Pelodiscus sinensis: one gene and its partner. Each later gene encodes a partner of the first gene's protein in a complex. Links are inferred from orthologs where the notes say so. Each region holds a gene or a part of one and is shown on either strand. Other genes may lie near its edges.

Region 1 (7,715 bases):
TGAAAGAATCTGTACTCTTGGAAAAAATGAGGAGTATTGGTTTTTTTAAAAAATCCCTCCCCCCCCCCAAAGAACCTGTCTAGACTGTGGTTTCTTCTTTGAAAAACCCTTTTTTCGAAAAGGCACTCTCACGCGATTGTACAAATGAAGCACGAGATTTGTAAATCCGCACTTCTTGAATTTTCAATTGAGCTCATTTACATTCAAAATTAATCAAACTAACATGTAGCCACCACAGTGATACAATCAGTTTATAATGTCCATACTACACTCTTTGTATCAACAATGCACATCCTCACCAGGAGTGCCTGCACTTATTTAATTGCCAGTGGGAGACATTCTGGGATGGTTTCTGAAAGGCAGCAACTGTCTATGTAAGTAATTCTGTGTTTACACTAAATACATCATTGATCTAATAAAATGTTTCTTAAACTGTGTTCCATGTGTGCCACAAGGCAGTCGGATGTGTGCCATAGAGAACAAGAGTCCAAAATGGCTGTCTTTTTGGGGGGGGCTCAATAACCCCCTCCCAAACACACCTTTTTTTGGGCTAAAGAAAAAGAAAAAAAAAACACCCCACCTTTGGAGTTCCTCATTAAAAAAATTGTTTCGTGTTCTTTGGTCTTAAAAAGTTTAAGAAACACTGATCTAATACATCAACTTAGATTCTATGCCTCTTGTAGTGATGGTAATTAATTTCAGAGAGCAAGATATACTGATGCGAGTAACATTTTAGTGTAGTTGCTTAAGTTTGATTTACATAAATTGCCTTATTGAGACCCAACTCAGCAGGATACACCAGAGATAAGTGTTAACTGACCCCTAACTTCAGGAAACACATTAAAACTTTCTTCAGCCAGAAGAAAGTTATTTTGAAGTCTTGCATGCTAAAGGGTACTTAATTTTTTTGAAATCTGTTTCAAAGATTTCAGAAACAATAGGACTATACCAGATAAATACCAAGCTGTGCTTGGTATTTTTTTCACCATTAACATATGTATACACAGAAAACTTATCCAATTCTTGTGTCTCCAGATCACATAAGACGCAATATGAAACTGTCACAGCTATTGCTCGAATTGTATCTACCATGTCTTGTAAATAAATAAGTCGATAATCCAATCCTTGCAATTAAATTACTTACTTAAATCGTGCAGGTGAAAGTGGAGTTGGAGGAAACATTCCTGGTTCAAAGGAATCAAAATAAGTCACCGTCCAAGAAAAGCTGCAGCACGAGAGCCCTGTCATCAAGGCTAAAACAAACAGACCCCAAAATCCTTGGGAGTAGCGGGAGAAAGAAAAGTTACTATAACACCGAATTTCAGAAGAGTTTCACAGAACACACATTTGCAATATAGCATGAATGTTCTACATCACTGAAACAAAGCATTTCTAGTAAGTCAAGCAGAGTAGCTGCTGTTTGTCAGTTCTTTTGACGACAAAATACTTCCATCCCGGAGCAAGGTTACCTTTGTTGGCAGGAGTTCCTGCTAACAATGCACTATTCAGACTAGTACTTGCCATAGCAAAACTTTTGACTTTCAGGTTTTCTTTTTTTAAAAAAAATACTTGAGGCTAATTTACACTATGCAGCTTTTAGTGGCTGTGTCAATACTGCACTGTCACTAAAAGTCAGCATATGTGAACTTAGAAGCATTTTGCCACCTCTGAGGCTATCCCAACAAGCAGGTTTCACTGTGTCAGGAAGAGAGCAGTCCTGTCGACAAAGCAGCATTCACAAGTGCACTTGCTGCAGCAAAACTTTGTCATTCACTGTTTTTTAAAAGCATATGTGAACAACAGAAGTTTTGTTGAGAAAGTGCAGACACAGCCTGAAAGATAAAAGTTGTGTCGTTAAATTGTCAGTGTACACATAGCCTAAGCCTCTGGCTAAGGCCACGCAACAGGGGATGAATTACTAAGTATCCTTTTCTGTTCATTCCCCACTAAGCATCCTGTATTGGCTACTGTAGGAAGACAGAACACTGGGCTAGAGGGACCAGTGGAACCTCAGATACACAAAGTTACATTCATATTGGCAGGGCTCAACAAATCCGCTCGCCCATGGCGAGTAGATTTTGGCAGCTGGCGAGCTGTGATGGGGCTGAGCCGCCCCGCGTCCTACGATGGGAGCGGGGCCACATGAGGGCTTAGGGCGGGGCCAGAGTGTGCATGCGTCCTGACATCAGGGGGAGAGGTGCCGGTGCAAGAAAGCGCCGCAATCAAAAGGAGAGCAATGGAGGAAGGCAGAGGGGAGAGGAGACGGAGGAGAGTAACGGAGGGAGAGGGGAGAACAGAGGAGCGAGCTAGAACACTGTAGTGGGTGGAGGAGTGAAGGGTGAGAGCCGAGGAGGACAGGAGACAGAGGAGGTCAGAAAAGGCAAGAGGGAGACGGGGAGTGGAGCAGGGAGCAGGGAGCAGAGCACGGGGGCAGAGGAAGTGAAAGGAGAAGCAGAGTAGGTAGCAGCCCAGGACGGGGCTCTTTAGTGTCTCTGCTCTTTCTATAATTTGTTGAGCCTTGAATATTGGTCAACTGGACACCATGTGGACACAGCTTCCTGCTGGGACTCCCGCCCTCCCGCATACAGGGGCTGTTAGACCTGGTGCGAGGCAGGACTAAGGAGGTTAAGGACTAGTCGATCCTCCCCTCCCCCTTGCTGCCTCGATCAGATAGAGGCAGCAAAGGGGAGGGAAGGGGGTACTTCAAAGGGGCAGTGCTGAATGGAGCACAGGCTCAGCTGGGAACTCCAGAACAGCATTTAAAGTGCACAGAGCTCGGGAGTCCCCAGCTGATCCCGCGTTCTGGGGAAATGTGGAGTCCCTTGCTGACCCCAAGACTCCAAGCGGGTGCTGCCACTTTGAAATGCACAAGAACCTCCAAGGAGCCCAGAGTCAGCGGGACTTCCCACTGGCCCCGGCACACAGAGTTTCAATTCTGAAATGTGTAAGAGGCCCAGCGGAGGCTCTTGCACATTTCAAAGGAGGAATGTGGAAGTGTCCATCAACTACTCAACTGGTAAATTAATTGAAACAAAATACAGGACTATGTAGCACTTTAAAGACTAACAAGATAGTCTTTAAAGTGCTACATAGTCCTGTATTTTGTTTCAGCTACACCAGACTAACACGGCTACATTTCTATCATGGTAAATTAATTGTTATTTAACATTTTTGGTCAGGATATTAATTTCTTCTGTATTCCAATATATGCTGAGAAATATGTGCTTAACATAAAAAGTTTCTTCTGAGTTTTACATGATTGGATTCTGGCCAGCCAAGATACTCTCCATTGCCTGTTATGTGGCAGTTATGGTTAGGAGAAGCAATCAAGTAGACACAAGCTTCTGGCATTTGTCCAAAGAATCTGAATATTTACTCTAGTTGGCTGTTATAAATAACAAAGTGTTTTTAGTCTCCTCTGAGCTGCAGGAGCTCTGAAAGAACCATATGAATGCATACCTAACAAGCCAGTTTCTATGCCATCTTCATTTTTCTCTTTCTCAGAGCGCAAATCTACAGAGAGAGAGAAATGAGTTATGAAGCATTTTCTAACACAGCAATTTTAGAAACCACCACTCAGCAGGGGCTCACTTTGCTGCATCTCCTCAGCAAAGTCTAAGGACACCAGCTCAGAAAACACTCAGCTTAAAGCAGAGGAGCCAGGAGATCTGGGCTACATTCCTGCTTCAGCACAGCTCTGGTCAGTGTAGAATCTTAATCAAGCTCGCTACCATGAGAGGGCCAGCGTGGCCAAGCCCCCCCATGGTGTATAGGGCAGGCCCCCCCGGAGGGAGGGAGGGGCTGAGCTCCAGCAAATACACTCTCCCCTCTCCTCCTGCTTCTTCGCCAGGCCCGCGCCTTCCACCGGGGCAGCCGCGGCGCTCGGACGGGTCCCCGCTCTCCCCACGGGTCCCGGCCGCGGCCGGGAAAGGCAGCAGGCGCCTGCTCCCTGGCTGCGAGCGGGACCGACAGTCCCGCAGGAGCTCCGCGGCGCGGGCCCCTCACCTTTGAGCACGAGGCAAGCGATGGCCAGCAGGAAGGCGAGGGCGGAGACGGCCAGGAGGCAGCAGAGCATCGAGCAGGCCCGGGCCGGCCAACGGGCCCCCCCCTGCGGAGCCATCAGCCCGCCATTCCGCTTGTGGGGCAGCGGGACTCCGCCCTGGGACGCCGAGACGCCGCTCGCTGCTGCCACCTCTTCCTCCTCCGTCTCCTGCAGCAGCTCGGCCTGCAGGCTCCGCGCCACCGCGCCGCCCCCCAGCCACGGCGTCCCGGGGGTGGCCCCCAACCTGCTGAGCCGGCCCAGCCGCCCGCTGCTGCCCGCAGTCACAGACATGGCGCAGCCGGCGGGAAAGCGCAAAACACGGGCCGGAGCCCAAGGCGGGGCTGCCCAAGTTGAAACTCCCACTCCCGCGTCACCGGGCACCTACCAATCTGCCCGCGTGCAGGGGCGGCCAGGAAAAACCATCAGCAACCGCTGACCCGGAACAGAATGGAAAAGACTGAACTCGGCACGTACCAACGCCTGTCGACTGAGGGGAAGACAAGTTAACGTCTGTAACTAGGCGCCTACCAACTCGCCTCCGAGGGGCAGTGGAGAATCGCGTGCAGGTCATCAGCGATAGGCGATTAAGGAACGTGGGTGTCGCGCACCCCCTCCTTAGGTGTCAGTGGTTCCTTCTACCTTCCTCAGCCCCGCCTGAATCGTCCACGTGACCTTTTCCCAGCATTCCCTCCACACGTCCCCCCCCCATCGCAGTTTCTTCCCCTCGCGAGCTCCGGAGGCCAGCGCGAGCGGCCCTCGCGCGCCCTCTCCCCCGGTGAGCGGAGGCCCCCAGCGCGCTAGACCGCGGCGGGCGCCCTTTCTCTCCCCTGCCTCTAGCGGCGCGCACTACCTCGCCTGACGCGAACCCCTCGCGCGCCCGATTCCGGCGCGACCCCTTTCTCCCGCGGCGCGGGGCCTTTCTACGCGCCCGGGCCGGGTCCCCTCGCTCCGCTAACGGTCTCCTGTACGGCTTCCGGGGAAGACTCCGCGCCTCCGTCCGTGGGCCGGGGGTCGCCATGTCGGGCGGGGATTCGGCGGCAGCTGCGGCCTCCCCCCAGCCGCTCCCCTTTTCCTTGCCGAAGCCCCCTCCCCTCATGCAGCTGACGCCGGGGGACGCTGTTCGCCCCGTCGCCTCCGCCACGGACCAATCGCCGAAGAGTTCCCGGTTGGGAGGCCGCCCGGATTGGCCGACTGGGAAGCCTGTCAGCCTCCTGGCCCCGCTGCTCCCGCCCCGTGGCGAACCCGAACCTCTGATGCCCTTTGGTCCCTCGTCGCGGCAGCCGCTTAGAGGGAGGCTGCTTGGCAGGTGTGGCGGGGGCAGCCTCTTGAACCCCTCGATGAGGCCGGGCGCAGTGGATAGAGCGTCCCTCATGGTAAGCGGAGGGTCACATGCTGTAATGGGGAAGGGGGCGGGGACCTTCCTGGCGGCGACAGGAGGCGTGACGAGATCTCCCGGCTGTATCCCAGAGAGGGCACCTACCCGTGGACATGCAATACAGTGGGGACAACTCCGCTCCCGTTCCTAGGGGCTGGGGCTAGTGCCTGAAGTGTCTTTAGAGCAACAGGAACCTGACGGCATCCTCCAAGCCTTCCCTTTTGCCTTTCTCAGAAACTCCTGGGAGGAAGTTTCAGGGGCAGCTACAGTAGGACTAGTGAAGTCTCCACCTTAGGGTGCTAATGCATCTTTCTGACTCCGATTGGACTTAGAGGGGGGTCCTCCATCTCTGTATGGGGTTGGCTTCTCCCACTGAGCTCGTCTCTGATTATCCCTTGCTTTTATTTCACTTGAACTTCAAAATATTACAACAAATGGTCTGGTAGCACTTTAGGGACTAACAAAACATGTAGATGGTATGAGCTTTCATTGGGCACAGCCCACTTCTTCAGATGATCGGAAAAATGCCCACAAAAGCTCATGATACCATCTACATATTTCTTTAGTTTATAAAGTGCTACCAGACCATTTTTTTTCTGTAACAGACTAACTTGATTACCCCCTGAAGCTTCAAAATATTAGTGACTCAACACTACGATGTTGACCATTCTGCATATCTGCAAGCTGAAATCCAAGTTTATAATTAATGTGATTTTCATTTTGCTATACCACTTGATGATACATTGATAGCTAAGTTAATGATGGTGTATTGAAATAGTAGATGAGGCAGGATAGTCATAAGTGGTGTTATGTTTAACTTAGCTAAATATTTTTTCATTGTTTTAAAACCTTTCATATTTCCATAAATCATAATTTTCCACATTCAAGAGGATCTGCAAGGGCCCATTGAAATAAAAGGACAAAAATAATTGAGAAGCTCTCTGATTACTCTTTCAGTTTAACCTGTGTCTTAGATATTACTGAAGGAAGGAATCACAATGTAGATATGTATATGTTTCTTTTATATAACTAAAAAGAGGTTTAAAAGTTACGTCCACTGACAAAAATACTGAAAGCTACTATTAAAATGATCAGATGTTACTTCAGCTTTAAAGCTAAAATAATTGAGATGATCAGTGCAAGATTAATCCTTTAAAAAGTACTTCTGTGATAATTTGGAGAAAATTTGATGGCTGATTATATTCTGGTTTGCAGAGATTTGTCATTTCTGTGTCTTTTCTACTTATTTTTTAAGATTTTGTATTTCCGTTGTTTACTTCTTGTTACTTTGATATATTTTGATGTACATGCTAATAATTTGATGGATAAATCATTCTTGATAAAGTGCCCTGTATAAAGTCAGTTTCCATACTGTTTCAAATTCCTGTAGATTACAATTTTTTCCTGATCCTAGTGTCTCAGTGCCTGTGGTATTGCATTGCCAACTATAGATGCAGCAATAAGGTTAACTTTTTCACTCATTTTTAGTATAGTAAATTTCCGATAATCCGGCACCTTTAGGACCCAGGGGGTGCCGGATTATCAGATATGCCGGACTGTCGGAAGGGAGGGCTGTGGGGGATCTGGGGTGGAGTCGGGGGGGATGCGCCTCTCGGTGCTGCGGGACCAACCTGGCAGCACCCCAGCTGCTCTGCCCCAGACTTCCTCAAGTCAGCTGCTGCTGAAACCGACCAGCAGCGACCAGCAGCTGACTCGGGGAAGCCTGGGGCAGAGCAGCAGAGGTGCTCTGCCCCGGGCTTCCCAGAGTCAGCCACTGGTCAGTTTCAGCAGCGGCTGACTTGGATGTCTGGGGCAGAGCAGCTGGGGTGCTGCCGGGTTGGTCCCGCAGCGCCGAGGGGCAGAGCAGCTCCAATTGTCTGGCTGCCTGGAGCACTTCCGGGTTTCAGATGGTGCCGGATCATCAGGAGTGCTGGACCATTGGATGCCGGGCCACTGGAGTTTTACTGTAGAACTAATCTTCCTTCAGAACTATTGTTTGTTCTAAAAAAACCTAAAATATTTGGTCCATAAAGTTTAATATATGATGCAGATGTTTGTAGAAAAAAACAGGGAGAAAATGTATTGGTGCTAATATATAACTGGCACCTTCATATTGCAGTTAACTTTAAACGTGTGAAGGAGAAGATATTTTGGTTATCAGATCTGTTTCCCTGCCTGTGTATGCTTCCAGTGAGCATAATCTATTGAAATGGCATGTGTGAATCTTAGCATCTATAGGTTTGTTAGGCTTTTGTTTTATATTTACACATTGAGAGGTTTTCCAGGTGGCTCCCTAGG
Region 2 (7,335 bases), on another chromosome or scaffold:
TGTCTTTCTGTCCTGCCCACCACAGTGTGCCTTCAAGACAGTGTGCTGGCCTTCTGGAAACATGGCATGCAGGGCCGCAGTCTGGAGAGCAATGAGGTGAGTGCAGGTCAGGGCTTGGGTGGATGCATCTACCTATCTTCCCTAGATGAGGGGGGATCAGACGCTGCAGGGGGGAATAACTTGGAGATGATGTATGCAGAGGTAGTATTGCTCCTGAGGGAGACTCTGTGATATAGGATCTATCCCCATCGTTGGGTAGGGGATGGAGATGCATTGACCCAGTAGGGATCTGGGCTGGGAGAACTCTGTGCTGATCTGAACCTTCTCCTTGACAGGTGACCCAAGAAATCACAGATAAATCCAGGATGTTCCGTGTGCTGGGAGCCAACAGGTGAGACCCCAAAGTGAGGATGTAGTCATGGCAGATGGCAGCAAGCAATTCTTGTCCTGCTGTCTCCACCCTCTGATCAAGTGGTATGGCTGCCCTGCTATAGCTCGCTACCCCCAGTCTGGCTGTGGTAGGAACCTGTTGCCAGCCTGCAAGGCTGGGACAGTGGGAAAATTATCTGGGAGACCAGGAGCTGAGAACTTTTTTCCTTCCTCTTGCCTAGGCCAGATCACTTTAGTAGCTGGTCTCCATCTTGCACACTCTAGTGTGTGCATCCTGTACCCTTGATCCTGTGGGATGTTACATGACTGGGTGGATTTGCAGGCTTGTCAGGGTTTGGGCTGCATTCTGGGCAAGCCAGAGGTTGCATGGTGAATGTGCTGTATTAGGGACTGGGTTTGTATAACTGGGATGAAGTTATGCTGCTGTGCTTATCATTGCAGTATCAGAGCACGTGCCAGGAGCACATTAAGCATAAAGTGGTGGTTCTTTTGTCATCTTGCTAAGGGAGAAGCATGTGTGGGGAGTTTAGTTTGGGTTTATACAGCCAGTTCCCGACTTACGTTCCAAACACCTGATTGTAACTCCATTTGTTCGTAAGTCGGAAATACATGCTTTTACATACAGCCACACTGTTCGTAAGTGTGGATGGTGCATTCGTTAGTCGGGGACCAGCTGTAATGGGATTAATGGGAGGTTGGTCATAAGTGTGGATGGTCATAAGTCGATGCTTTTGTAAGTCGGGGACTGGCTGTATAATGAAATGCTGTTATGTTTATATGAGAAATGATGAGGTCAGATAAATGTGCCCAGCACTTGAACCAAGAGTTGATTTTGCATGGTTGGATTGGAGAGGCTGATTTTGCATGGTGGCCAAGGTTGTGTGATTGGGTTGAGGGGGGAGGGCTGGAGTTGCGTAGAGGGTTTGGTTTTGTGTGATAGGTAGACTGCATTCATGGCTGTGGGACTGGAATGGGGTCTAGATTGGGTGGTGGAATACATTCATGGCTGGGGCTGGCTTTGCTGAGTTGCATTCCTAGCTACATCTCTCAAGTCACCTTTGAGCAAAACAGTCGTCCTGTTCTGCTCAAAAAACATTCTGACCATGAATTGTTAGTCTTTAAGGCTCCATAGTTGTTTTTGCGGAAACAGACTAACACAGCTACCTCCCTGAAATTTCTTTCCAGAGATGTAATCCTGGAGAGCACGCCTACGGAGAATCCTTTAGCTCACAGCAACCTCTACATCCTAACGGGGCATGAGAGCAGCTATTGAGTATGTGGAACTGCCTTTCCAACATCCCCATGGGGATGGATGCAGAGCCCCAGTGCAAGGGGAAATTCTGCTGTGATGATTTAAACTACTGATTTCTGAGATAGCAGGAGCCTAGGGAACTCTTCCCATGAGCAAGGTCCATCTTGTGTTGTGGGAATCCATGCCAGATGGATTCTATTTTATAAACTCTACAGTCCACCTCTTCTGTTGTCCAAAGTCTTCCTGAGATACTCCTGTTTTTCAGAAGTGTATGGAGAGATTCCTTCTGCCCTTTTAGAGTGAGCATCTCCTGAGACTCTTATGTTTGCAATAATTGACTACCAGCCAGTCCAAAGAAGCCTCCTTAGTCTGTCTTGACTGATACTTGTGCCTGCTGAATGCTTCCTCTTCTCTCCTCCCCACCCCATTCTTAATCCTAAGAAGGGGTCTTCTGGAGAGACATGTTGTGAAAGTGTCCTCCTCCAGCTTCAACATGAAGACAATCCATTTTCCAGTGGGTGCATTCTTTTTCCTATGTAGCACTTAAGGTCCAGAAATCTGGCAAACATCTTCAGCAAAAGGAGTGGGAAAGCAATTCTGTGTCTTCTCATTCAAAGTGTAAGCAACAAGCAAAGCTTGAGGTGGGACAAACCTGTTGAATCAGTGGCTGGGATACCTATTTGACTGTTTTGGTAATGGTTGGGCAGGTTGCTTGGCTGCATGAGTTCTGATGAGGGGAAGAGTGTGATGGCTGGTTGGGCATAGGTTGGCTGGTTTAAGTAGCTGGGTGATGGCTTGGTGGCAGAGAGTTGAGTGCTTGTTGGTAGGGAGTGGTGATTAGCAGGATGAGGTGGTGGTTTGGTTTGGAAGTGGCTGGGGCAATACTTGGGTGAATGAGGGGAAATATGGGTTTGGCTGATGAGGCAATGTGAGGGACTTGTTTAGTGAGTAAGCCAATTGCTTCGCAGGGTGGGGTGGCTGATTGGTATAAAAGAGGTTTGAGAGTATCTGCTACAGAGAGACTGGATGCATGGTTGGCATTCTGAGCATGAAAAGATGGGTGGGTGGGTGGGTGGATGGATGACTGTTTTAAAATGAAGCAGACTGCTTCACTACCAGGCAGTGTGTTAAACTGGCTGGCTGTTGGGATGCCTTGTTCTTTTGCTGCCTTGGAAAACTGTGCCAATCCTAAATGCCATTGTGACAGAGATCAGAATCTTGGGGCCAACAGCTCTACTAACTCAGGCAGTGGAAGCTTCCCTTTCTGTTTTGCTAATTTCTCTGTTTTTTAACTGAGAGCTGGAATTTATGGATAAAAAACAAAACTTGAAAAAATATGCTATTTAAGAGATATATTGATATTAAATGTGTCTTTTGTTTGCTTGGTGTTAATTGGCTGAATCATTCCTAGGGGAGAGCCATTGGGGCCTCTTTGCCTATTCAGGTCCACTGCTGTCCTTTCTAGTTTTTATTGCTGTCACACTAATTGGTAAGGACTGGTTTTCAGTCCTGCCTGAAACCCCCTTCTTCCTCCATGAGAACTGTTGTTTATCATGGGATGGGGTAATAGTCCCAGCCACTATCACTGGGACCTGGGCAGGGGTAAGGAGAACACAGTTGTGTGTTTGTGGGCTGGGACTACGCTCTCCTTGCAAGTGAAATGTAGCCTCGGAGAAGGGCTGAAGACTAGGGATGTAAAACATGTATTTGTGTAAACATGTAACCGCTGGGTTCTTAGCAGTTACAGGCAGCAGCAGTCAGTGCTTGTGGGGAGCTGGCTTTTAAGCCGTAGCCTTCATCTCCCGGCTCACCCCTATAGTTTTGCTGTGCACCACGGTGCAGGTGATGTGGCCTAGCACCGCCTTCCCCAAGCCTAGTTCCCAGGAGCCCCTCGGGCTGCAGCAGGGTGAGGAGGAGGAGGCTAGGCTCCCATGAGCCCCTGACAGGGGGAGGCGGTGCCTGCACTCACTGGGGCTCTGGGGCACAGCTTCGCACCCAGGATCGCTCCCGCCCTATCACTCACCAATCAGAGAATGCTCCGTTAATTGAAAGACCCTTTCACCAATCATGGGCGACTGCGCTGCGCTCTGCCCAATAAGAGGAAACCTCCGCATTAACGTCACGACCAACCGACCCCGCACTGTACGGGGTCTTCCAACGACCTTTGCAAAACCTCTAAGGCGCGCCGCGAGTGTCGCAAGACCGCCCCCTCCCCCAATCCAGACGCAGCTCGATATCCCGAGAGCCCGCCCTCCGTCTCTTCAACCAGTCCTAACACGGAAACCTAACTGTGTTCCCGCCCACCGTGCCACACTGCAAGTACCGCGCCTTAAATGCCCAGTCAACCAATCATAACTTGTCTTTCATCCCTCCTTCTCACGCATACTGCCGCTCAACCATTCCCATCACTGTTCGCTAGAGAGTGACATCTCATCTGACCTATGGGTGTTGCCTTCAGCACTTGTCTCCTCTCCTCCAATGACTTTCTTTCACTGGAGCGGCTCGGCCAATGTATCAGCGCGGTTGGCTAACGGACGCATGGCGCTGCCAATAGAAGGACGTGCGCGTACGACTGACATCTCGGCGGCCAATGATTTTCGAGTAGCTTTGTGAGGCGCATAGGCTGGAAGGTTCGCGAAACGCGAACGCCGCGCTGAGGAGACTCTAATGGCGGCGACTGGAGCCAACGCCACGCCGCTAGGGAAGCTCCATCCACCCCCACCACCGGGGAAGCCAGGTTACCCGATGCCTCCGCCGGGTCCACCTGGGCTGGTCCTCCCGGGTCCTCCTCCTCCACCGCCGCCAGGCCCGGGCCAGGCCCAAGCCGCCTTGCTGGGGCCTATGGCGGCTGCTGCCTACCCCTTCGCCGCGCTGCCGCCGCCGCCCCCTCCTCCACCCCCACCTCCCCCGCCGCCCCAGCCTCAGCCCCCGCCGCAGCAACCGCAGCCCCCGCCGCCCCCACCGCCGCCGCCTCCTCCACAACAACAGCAGCAGCCGCCCCAGGCTGGGGGGCCTCAGGCTCCCCCTCAGTACGGGCAGTACCGCTACCCGTCCCCGCCGCCGCCCCCGCAGGGCCATGAGCAACAGCAGCAGCAGCCGCCGCCGCAGCAACAACCGCAGCAGGATGAGAGCGGCCCGGGAGGGGGCAGTAACCACGGTGAGGAGCAGGACGAAAGGGGGTCGGAGAGGGAGGGTCATAAGAGTGGGGCTAGGAAGAATTGTAGGTTGGGTGTGGGGCTGCAGATGAACCGTCGGGCGGTATGAGGGTCTATAGAAGTAAGAGGCAAGCACTGCGAGGGAGCGATGGACGTTGGGAAGCTGGAGCGGTGGGTGTTATGTGTAAATGTGGCAGTGTTCGGTGAGGGAACTGGCTCGGCACCTTTTGAAGCTAGTTGCGAGTCTAGGCTGGGTAGGCAATTTTGGGGGACGTTACAGTGAAAAAGTGAAGGCATTGGGGCTTTTGAGATGGCCATGGGGAGTTAAAGGGGCTGAAACGGAGAGAGAGTTATAGTTTTGGCAATTGTGGGATGGGGTAGAAGTGGAATGGGTAAAATGGTGTTTAAGGGTTCATGGGATGAGACGTCTCTTGACACTTTGTAGGGGTATTGCAGGGAAAGAGGTATATTTGAGAATGGAAGGAAGTGATGGTGTTGAGTACTGGGAAAGAGGAAAAGGGTTGTGACTAATAAAAGGTTGAATGAGATGGGGATAAATAGGAGTAGGATGAGACTAGATTGATAAATGGAGAATGAGTCTAGGTGGAAGATGAACCAGCCAAATATGGGGAAATGAAGGGGAACAGGATGGGTTGAGGTGTTGGCTGTTTTCTTTGAAGAAAGAGAATTGAGCAAGGGAACATTCTTAATTGGAGAGTGGGTTTGTGGCTAGGAAGATGGATGGAAAGACTTGGTTGTGGGTACCAAGAGGAAAAAAAAGATCTGAGTGTTGATATCTTAAAACGGGGGTTCTAAACATGTGGGCATGTGCTGTTCAGTGGAAGCTTTGGGCACAAAACTGAAGTCCCAAAACACTGAACAGCCTGAGATTGGTATTCTTGGAAGAAAGGAGGCCTGGTGGTGTTTATAGGCATTAGCAGATACTCATGCAACCAAAATGGAGGTCTGTGTAGTATTGGGAAGAAATGAGGGTAAAAGCTACCATGGTCTCTTCTTTCACTTTCTGTTTTTGCTGGTCTCTCTTTTTAGCAAAATGATTAGAGATAGCTAATCCTGTTAATCTTCTAATCTTTACAATAAGAGCTCATTTTGGAAATCTGTATTTAAATCATAACAGAATGCTTTTCTGTGTGAAGGCACGTGAAAGCTCAGCATAAAAAAGGAGCAGTAACAATTTCCTACACACTGTTAAAGGAAAACTGCTGTGGGTATAGATAGTTTCCCATCACATCATCCAATGTAAATATCCCAGGTCTTGTAATGTGTACAAAGAGGCTGAATGTGAAATGGTGCTGTGAGGCAGCCATGTTGCTTTACTGATGGAAATCAGAACTGTAACATTCCCTTTAAAAATGGTGGCAGAAATTATTAGAAAAATAGTGTTGGATTCTAGAGTAATGTTTTTTCTTTAGAGAGCCTTCCTGTTTTCAGTTGGTTTGACTAGCTTGATTGAGGAGCATAATTTTGTAGTTGATATCACTGTTCTGTTGAACTCAAGTCTACTGAGTTTGTCCCTTGCTTATTTGCTGACAATAAATACATCTTTTAACATGGCAACATGGCTGCTTTTGCTTGTTTTTGTCTACGTATTGTGGTAGCACCCAATGGCCTGAACATAGATAGCATTCACACAGTACTAGGTGCTGTGCAAACACGGTGACAGTAAAAACATAAAGGCTGAATAGACAGGGAGTAGAGTGGAAACCGGCATAGCACAGAGGTAAAGTTATTTGTCCAAAGTCAATTGGCAGGTCAGTGATTGAACTGAAATTATATCCACTAAAACTGTGTGCAACTTTTCTCATCCCTATAAGAGATTTGGTATTGGAAGGAGTGTAGGTTGCCTTGTCAGTATTTTTTATTTAAGGGAATTCTGTGTGCTCAGTGTTGCTGTTAATAACTTTTGTGTTATGTTATGTTATGTTGTAGAAACACCTTCAAACATACAAAGTTTGTCTAAAAAAGGATGCTTGCCTTTAGATTTCCCTAATAAGAAGCGGAAGAGAAGCAGATGGAACCAAGACACCATGGAGCAGAAGACTGTCATCCCAGGAATGCCCACTGTTATCCCTCCTGGACTCACTCGTGAGCAAGAGAGAGCTTATATAGGTAAATACACGTTCTCCCCTTTTCCCATCTGATCTGCTGTCAGTGGTGATCCTATTTCTGGATTCTGAGTGATTTGAAAGTTAACCTTTTTTTTCTAGACTTCAGGTTATTATGGCCTTATTACATAACTTCAAATCAATAATTCTCACACATTTGCTCAGTCATGCACTGTTGCAGCTCCCCTCTCCTGCTTGTGACAGGAGTAATGTTCTCCACAGGCATGGTGAAAATGGAATGGCTAGAATAGTTTTTGTAGGTGTGATAGTCCTTTCTCTAGATATATTGGCCCTTATTCTGGAGGTGTACTTAATAATCTCATTACAGTTGGTGGGAGCCTCTAGAATTACCTCTCCAGTGGAGAACATTGCCTCCAAGTCCCTCTTCACACTGTAGTATGTGGGAAGCAGG

What was found.
Region 2: the proteins of PRPF40A (region 1) and SF1 are in contact, whole or in part, in an NMR structure (PDB 8PXX), measured with the Homo sapiens proteins. The link is inferred for Pelodiscus sinensis from reciprocal best matches to the Homo sapiens genes PRPF40A and SF1. Residues at the interface, in NP_001352526.1 of Homo sapiens: His164, Ser166, Tyr172, Tyr174, Ser181, Thr182, Trp183, Tyr213, Tyr215, Ser222, Arg223, Trp224; in NP_004621.2 of Homo sapiens: Pro575, Pro576, Leu577, Pro578, Pro579, Gly580, Ala581, Pro582, Pro586, Pro587, Pro588, Pro589, Pro590.

Annotation. Positions count from the first base shown.
Region 1 is NC_134717.1:28,834,314-28,842,028, reverse strand, and holds the start of PRPF40A (pre-mRNA-processing factor 40 homolog A), read left to right. Parts: upstream 1-4,513; 5' UTR 4,514-5,058; coding exon 5,059-5,415; intron 5,416-7,715. Other genes in the region: ARL6IP6 (ADP-ribosylation factor-like protein 6-interacting protein 6), read right to left, coding at 1,141-1,277, 3,460-3,513, 4,006-4,333.
Region 2 is NC_134721.1:35,855,635-35,862,969, reverse strand, and holds the start of SF1 (splicing factor 1), read left to right. Parts: upstream 1-4,225; 5' UTR 4,226-4,309; coding exon 4,310-4,799; intron 4,800-6,798; coding exon 6,799-6,927; intron 6,928-7,335. Other genes in the region: MAP4K2 (mitogen-activated protein kinase kinase kinase kinase 2), read left to right, coding at 26-96, 336-391, 1,576-1,663. UniProt on the Homo sapiens protein: Necessary for the ATP-dependent first step of spliceosome assembly. Binds to the intron branch point sequence (BPS) 5'-UACUAAC-3' of the pre-mRNA. May act as transcription repressor.